2 linked regions of the Nothobranchius furzeri genome follow. The protein of the gene in region 2 interacts with the protein of the main gene of each other region in a biochemical or structural test. Links are inferred from orthologs where the notes say so. Each region holds a gene or a part of one and is shown on either strand. Other genes may lie near its edges. The genes, in order: msh5 and msh4.

Region 1 (3,924 bases), on a different chromosome or scaffold from region 2:
ACTCTAGCCCAGTTTCTCCCGGAGACAGACACTCGCGCTGGAGCTCAGTCCATCACTCTCCTCACTTCATCCTCTCTGCCTGCAAACAGGAGGCGACACGATCTCCTGCTGAGCTCAGCAGCGATGGAGCGAGGGCAGAGATGGGGGTGAGGAGTGGGCTTCATGTGTGGGAGCTAACGTGGAGCCTCAAACACAGAGGAAGTCATGCAGCCATAGGGATCTCAAGGCAGGAATGTCCTTTGCACGACTCTGGTTATAAAGTTCTGGTGGGAGGAGACTCACGTTCCTGGGGATGGGAGCTTAAGACCAATCAGCTCTGGCACGGTGGGCAAACTCTGGAGTGCTACCCAGATAAAAGTAGAAGGTGTCGCTCTGGGGCTGCAAACAATTTCAGACCACAATCTTCTAATTCACATTCCACAAAGGAGGCAGAAGGCCCTCTTCTCATTCCCGAGCGTGTCCTGCTGGTCCTGGATGCAGATGCAGGGACTCTGGGGTATTTTGTTGATGGAAGCTTCCTTGGCGTAGCTTTTAGGGACCTTCCTAGTGGAGTAGAACTCTTCCCAGCAATAAGCAGTGTGAGAGGAGGAGCCAGCATACGATTGCGCTATCTTAACGGCACCACAAGTGAGTATCACCAACTAAAATAAACTGTATAATTTAAAAATGCTTTAATACTTAACATTTGTCCATTTTTTCTTAGGTAATCCTCCAGCCCTGATGGCTTTATGTGGACTGTCAATTTGTCAGCATTTAGGACAGCAACGACAGGACCAAGCTGAAAAATTGCCTCTTCCACCTTTCCTCCAGCGTTACCTGCTTTCTTGTTTCTAATTTTCATGAACATTCACGTGCAATCAGCATGCTTTAGCGTTTACAGCATTAAAGCCAAATAAGGCATTTCTGGTTGATTTGATATAAATATGACATTTTCAAAAAACTATTTCTTTAGTTGTATCTTTTGTTTGTGATGCATGGTATTTTGATAACGTTTTGAATGCATTTGCAAATTCCTTACTGTGTAAGCAATATGTTTCCTAAATTTATAATAAAATATGTTTTTGCAATTTCATTGTTTTGCTGTTTGTTTACAAAACACTACAGGCTACTGACATTGTATAGCTCGGAAAAGGTACTCACATAATTCATTATTTGTGTTAATAGTCATATCTGTTGATGCAAATAATTATTTGAATTTGATCACCTGACTGTAATTTTGTCAATTATGCAGCTGTGGATGGTGAATTTACCTGTAAACAAAAATAAAAGGGGGGGGGGGGGGGTGGTGGTGGACTGCATCAATATTAGGATAAATGCACTTAACTACCCATATATGAGCTCCCAAGCTCATTTTGTCAACATAAAAGTAAAGCTATGTAAAACTATATGTATATCATTCTCATTGGGCTTTCCCAAGCTTACTCACTTAGTCGGATGGTCCCGTTGCCATGGAAACAGAGGGCTGAAACAAGGCACGTGGCAAGCTGCACATTTATAGTAAGTTGAGCTAATCTCCCAATGCAAGCTGTTATAAAATAAAAAGTATGTATGAGATGTAGGTGTCGCTACTAAAGTCCCAACTAATTATGTAAGTACATGTTATGTAGTCTGATACTGCAATAAATATATATTTATAATATATCTTGCTAAATTAGACTAGCGTATGTCATTCACCTAGCATCAACTAGCTAACTGCTGCGACGTTCACTTAATAATGAAGTTACTTTTTTTAACAACAATTAAAGTGTAGGTAATGAGTTATTAAAACTAAATAACAAAATAAGACTAGTTTTCGGATTTTTTAGGTTTACTTAAACGTCAGATATGAAGTTCAACCTCTTTCAGCGCTACTTCCGGTGTAGCATATGTGACTTAGAAAATGGCGTACTTTCCTACGGTTGGGGTTTAGGACCCATAGTTAATATACATGATATCTATGTTAGGACCACTCTTAATCTGTCCATAACCGATGCTGAGATAACATATATTTAAAGGTTTGATAAGTATACACGATGTAACGGTAATTTCCCCAAATTTAAACTAATTTTAATAGCCTCATTGACTTGCATTCATTTTTTCTTATTTCCGGGGACACATGAGCCTTATGTAAATGTGTCTGACTAGTTAGGCTCTATTTGGGAGTCTGAAGCTGAAAAGTTTGGGAACCACTGGCTTACAAATTAGTATCAGGTTTTACTATGTTAATAATTTGTATCATAGTAGATTATAACGCATACATCGTGCTTTAAGGAAGAAGAAAGATTTTATATGGCGCCTCTCTAGATAAAATCTCAAGGCACAGTAAACAATAAAAATTAATTTTAAAGGATAATAATAAAAAGGAGGAAAAATGATTAAAAATCAGGTTGTAAATCATTAAAGGTTCTCTAAACAGTTCACATGGCAGTGTTTGGTTACCCAAGAGGATGTCCAAAGAATAGATTAACCTTTTTCTGTAGCTTTAATGGCCTCAGAAGAGTAAATAATGCAAATGAGTATTTTACTACTGTTATTTTTAGTTTGAATATGTCTGATTTACTATATTTTTGTTTTGGTATGTCTTAAATGTCCTGCCCATATTGTATTTTGTTTCTTGTATTTAATTTTCAAAAGAAAAGTTGGAGGGACTACAAAGTCGCTAAAGTGGCGAGGAGTACCCGTTGGTTGTGGTGGGCGAGGAACGAATTAACGACGTGCGAGGAATATCCTGCCATTGTGGATTGTTTTAGCTAGGTAGACTACGAAAAATAATCATTTTTATCAGAACTGAACTGTGACCCGATTACAACCCACAGCTTTCGACTCTCTGAGGATCAGTTGGTTTTTGAGGGTTACAGACTGGTGGAAGCAGTGGGATGTAGTTCTGATAGAAATGATTACTTTTTCGGCTTACACTACTACAAACAACACATTTGACAGCAACACAGAGCCCAATCTAGTCAGTAGTGATAAAACGTTTTAACATTCACTAGAGGACCAGATAAACTACTCAAAAATGAGCCTAATATCACTTTTAATGAACCATTCTGTGTAGAATTATGGCAGCAGCTCAAGAACATTCAAGAGAAGGAGGGAGAGTGATGGTTTATGGTGGCCCTGGCAGGAATGAGGATGAAGAGGAAGAAACTGACATATATGTGGTAAAATGGCTGCAGATACCAGTGGATTTCTAGATGCTTTCAAAATTAGCATTAAAACTTTATAATTAACGTGTTTGTTTCCAGGTTTTGTTGAGTGTTTTGGTGCATCATGGGCAGGTGGGTCTCTGCTTTTACGACAGCGAGGACTCCTCTCTACACTACATGGCTGACACTCCTGACAACCACGATCTTCACCTGTTGGCCAGAGGTAAATTATTCACTTACTTCCAATAGAAACATCACACTCACCAAGCTTTACTTTTCCTTTGTTCTGTTATTTGACTGTAATGTACGTCAAATGTTGTTTAATCTTCAGTCATTGAGGAGGTTAAGCCCCAGGTAATCATCACCAGTGCAAAGCAGGAACGGTGCTTGACTCGCTACTTACAAAGCCTCGGTGAGCGCCGCTAAACAAATGTCTTTGGTTGGTTAAGCGGAGTCAGAAACTGTAGAAGAGCATTTTGTTTTGAAGGGATGTGGAACGAGATGTTTCTGGGTCAAGGGAATTTAATGAGATTAAGGATGTTTGACACAGTGATAAGAAGAAGAGTGATTGTGATGGTGCTCCTCCTTATCTTTACTGAGCCTCCTTAACAACAAATAAAAACGGGGCATCTGTTAGTCACATTTTTATAATTAGTCTGATTTTGTTTCAGATTCCAACCAACACTACAAGCCAGAGGTGGTAACTTACCCATATGCAGACTTTGGTAAATGGTTGTTCTAATGCAATATTTATACACCTCCTGTAATTGCCAGGCTGTAGTTCTCTGTTCAGTCTTCG
Region 2 (3,924 bases):
TAGAATCACTATTTTCTCACACATAAGACATGTGAAAAATCTCCCTCAGGGCTTCTTCACAGCGTCCGTTCATCTTCATCAGGTCTGCGGTGGTGAAGCCATAGTTGTTCTTGTGCTTGGTGACCTGAGATGGAAGATCTAACTCTCAGTTCTGGTCTGTTTGCTGTCTTGGTGCAATTTTGTTACACGATAATTCACCTTGATGAACTCTGGGGGAAGTTTGCCCTCGGGCAAAACAACACCGTCGAGTTTCATTTGGATGAAGAAACCTCGAGTTGTGCTGAAGCTGGTGCGCATCGGCAAGCCGTAGTCCTCTCCCATCTGGTTCACGAGCCCTGTGCGGAGCAGCGATGCACGCTACGACTGCATGATACAAAAACACAACAAGGCGACACCACGCACTCAACATCCGGCACAAACACCTGCAATGTCGTCGACTATCTCCGTGTAGGCCCTGCGGGCGATGTCGAGGAACTCGTTGATGTTGGGGCGCACTGCGTAACACTTCTGGGTGCGCATGTTCAGGCTGCCTTTCAGATACGTGGTGTTGTCGTTTATCACCGTCTTGATTTGCTCCAGGATCACGTCGAATCTAAACCAGGAACGACACAGCTCACAGCGGTAAAACCAACGACTTTACAGAATTATAAAAACAGCTCGATACCTGTTGTCTTCCAGCGCGGCGCTGTAAGCCTTCAGCAGAGATGTTCTGCAGTCCGTCAACAACGTCTGAGCAGTAATTAAAAACGTAATCAGCCTTTTATATTAACTGTTGGACGATTACATTTTTACCAAATAGCAACAGTTACAGACCCTTAGCTGTGGCACCAGATCCAGTGTGTGTTTGAGCTGAATGACGTGTGTAATCTTAGCTTCAGCAGCTTGAACCTGTCAGTGAAACATGCGACGCTTAAAAATCCATAAAATACACAGAAAGTTAAAAACCAGAAACAAATATTTACTGTGCAGCGTGAAACTAGAGGACTCACCGTTTCCTGCTTTGGGACCTGGACCAGAACAGACAGCAGCCGGTCAACATCGAGGAAATGGCCGATGGCTAAAGAGAGCAAACACTGTGTCACTAACATGTAAAAACAGTAAAAGAGCGAGTCGAAACGTTTTTTTTTCTGCATCTCTTGACCATTCTTCAGTCCAAAGAAGAGCTCCTCATTTTGCAGGAGCTCTTGTATGGCATCCAAGCGGATGTTGATCGTATCCACATCAACTAGAGGCTCTAGAATATTAGAGCGAAGTCTTCTGGCTCCACCAGGGGTTTTTGTGTGGTTGAGGACCCCTAAAAGGGTCTGTTCACTCCTATAAAAAGCAACAAAAACACACAGAATCACAGAGTAAAACAGGTTTAAAGCCGATTCGTTCTTACCTGTGGTCTCTGTTGTTGACCACTAACTCTAAGTTAGCAGCAGATGCCGAGTCAATCATAGCTGTCTGCTCACTCCCTTTGAAGCTCACTTTGAGTGACTTTGCAGCATAAAGAGAGTTCTGGAGAAACTCTAAATATTTCAGCAAAGAAGCTGCAGACGCTAGGCAGTAATACCTAAAGAGATGATGATACAGAGCAAATAAAAAACTGCTGATTTATTTTTGTGCATGAATGACTTACTTGGCCTGCACTTCCATCAGGACAGTGTTGAATTCTGGAGCACACAGCTGCTGGATGTACTCCAGTCCTTTCTTTTCATTAAAATACTTCCGTTGGATCGCAGTAAAAGTCACACCCTGATGAGCAAAAGTAAATAAATAATTACGTTGGTTATGAGATGATCCTGGGTTAATTCACCGCAACCACGAGTTAAATATTTGTACCGGGAAATTCTCAGTGATCAGTTTGAACAGCTTGGTCCTTTTTCCCTTCTCACTGGCTGTGTCTGGCATCAATATTTCCACTGGCATCAAGATATGAATCTTTGTTATAACCTGCAGAAAAATAAGACGGTGGAGCTATGATTCCTGTATCTTCTGTTCTCCTTCCAGTGTTGGTAGTATATGGACTGAGTTACCTTGGCATATGTTCCTGTGTCTGCAAACTGAGAAAGTACAAGCTCTGGATATTTCAGGTTGAAACTGGCCATGCCGATCTCTCCCCTTGCAAAACCACGGCCTTCAACCACAGCTACAATCACAGTGGGACCAGAGCTTGTAGATCCTGATGAGCAACTGGCTCCTGTGGGGAAAGGGGAATGCTTTAAATGCAAAACTCCAAATAAACTTTTGGGTTGATGCTCCGGCTGGGTGAGGCAGTGGTGGTGGTGTTGGGTGAGAACCTGTGGGCCCTGCAGAACCTGGTGTCCTTCTGACTCTTGGTGTTTCTCCACAGTGAAAAGAGGAGCTGTCTGAGGTGGACACGAGGAGTGATGAAGCTGTCCTCCCAGCCCTGGAGCTGTTAGGATGCTGGCCTACATGAAGACAAGGCTGTTATTATTTCATAAAGTCAAACACAAATACAAAATGTAACCTTGTAGCTTCATTGTTGACGCCAAGTCAAAGCTAGTGGTCTCTAACTTCTAGTCACTTAAAATAAATTTGGTTATTTAAATTTCTGTTTTAAATCAGTCACCTGAAGCCATTCCCGGTTGGGCTGGACCATGACTTGATTTAGATATGCTCTCATCTGAACTTTGAGGAGAAAGAGCTGAGCAAAGTGATGCTGGATCACAAGAAGAAGTGGTAGTTTGATTCGGTCCTCTGCTCGCGGCTGTCCTCCGGACTTGTCCACGTTCTGAGGCGTCACCACTCGTTACCTCCTCTGTGCTGCTGTGATACATTTTAAAACCTCAAAAACACTCGATAATGGACCGATATATCGTTATTACTTGTTAAATGTATTTTTACGCTTAAACAAACTGTAAAACAGTTTTTTTTTTCAAATCAAACAAACAAAAAACTCTTGTTGCTAGCTAGCGACTAAACTAAATGGGCGCGCGACCCTTCTCTGTTCACCAGTTAGCATCTGATCTGCGCATGTCAATAAATAAATAAATAATCATAATTACCGCAAACTAATAATAATTTGCATAGTGTAATGTCTAGTTTAGCTTTATGAACGCTGCCTGTAGAAACTACTTGTCTCCAGTGGGGGGTGGGAAATTCCTAACTATAGAAAGACAGATACTAAAAAACGGATGTTTTATTTAATTTATGTCAGGATTTTATATTTTTATTGTTAAATGTAAACACCCCAAGGATTATTGTTTAAAACAAAATGTGTACATTTTAAAAGTAATCTACATGTTTGTTTGAATGTCTTTGTGTTTATTAGATGTAGTTGGGTATTCATTGCTCTTGAACTACTAATAGTATATCTTTGACATGATTAGAAACTACAAACTTATGTTTGTAAAAATTTGCACTAAACGCAATTCAAAAAATACAACACTCAGGCGCAAACAGAACAAAATTATCCTACACTAAAAGACGGAACATTAAAACGCATGCTATGTTTTGTAAAAGCTTTCTTTGATTAAATAAAGTTAACTGTGTTTTTGTACCAGGAGAATATACATTTTTTTCTTTTGATCGTTTTAAATAGCACAGAAAACACATAATTTGAAGCTGGATGATAGAAAATGTGTTTTTTTAAGCCATCGTGTCTGTTAGCTTCGGTGTCGGTAATCCACATAATAAAAAAGTCCAAATGTTTCTCAAAATCTCAATTTCAAATGTGCACGGAGCACGCTACACAAGGCTCTTATTCTGAAAGGAAAAATCAAGAACCGGAAGTTGTTTTCATTTCCGGTTTGAGCCAACATGGCGACGAACACGGATGACAGCAAGTATTTCGTGAGAGAAATTGAGAAAAATGACGGTTGTAGCTTAAGGCTGAAGCAGTGCTACATAGGGGATGTTGGTTGTGTGGTCTGGGACGCGGCTATTGTTCTCGCTAAGTATTTAGAGACGAAACAGTTT

Evidence for each region.
Region 1: the proteins of msh4 (region 2) and msh5 form a complex in vitro, tested with the Homo sapiens proteins (2 studies listed by BioGRID). The link is inferred for Nothobranchius furzeri from reciprocal best matches to the Homo sapiens genes MSH4 and MSH5.

What each region holds. Positions count from the first base shown.
Region 1 is NC_091745.1:79,204,774-79,208,697, reverse strand, and holds the start of msh5 (mutS protein homolog 5), read left to right. Parts: upstream 1-1,301; 5' UTR 1,302-1,497; exon of another isoform or gene 1,498-1,588; intron 1,589-3,034; 5' UTR 3,035-3,038; coding exon 3,039-3,140; intron 3,141-3,224; coding exon 3,225-3,348; intron 3,349-3,456; coding exon 3,457-3,537; intron 3,538-3,796; coding exon 3,797-3,850; intron 3,851-3,924. Other genes in the region: SPRY domain-containing SOCS box protein 1, read left to right, coding at 1-627, 704-834.
Region 2 is NC_091758.1:32,017,825-32,021,748, reverse strand, and holds the start of msh4 (mutS protein homolog 4), read right to left. Parts: upstream 2,906-3,924; 5' UTR 2,784-2,905; coding exon 2,576-2,783; intron 2,460-2,575; exon of another isoform or gene 2,415-2,459; coding exon 2,283-2,414; intron 2,183-2,282; coding exon 2,019-2,182; intron 1,936-2,018; coding exon 1,825-1,935; intron 1,738-1,824; coding exon 1,622-1,737; intron 1,556-1,621; coding exon 1,382-1,555; intron 1,315-1,381; coding exon 1,142-1,314; intron 1,058-1,141; coding exon 990-1,057; intron 889-989; coding exon 814-888; intron 730-813; coding exon 665-729; intron 593-664; coding exon 423-592; intron 336-422; coding exon 199-335; intron 125-198; coding exon 21-124; intron 1-20. Other genes in the region: vcpkmt (protein N-lysine methyltransferase METTL21D), read left to right, coding at 3,766-3,924. UniProt on the Homo sapiens protein: Involved in meiotic recombination. Required for reciprocal recombination and proper segregation of homologous chromosomes at meiosis.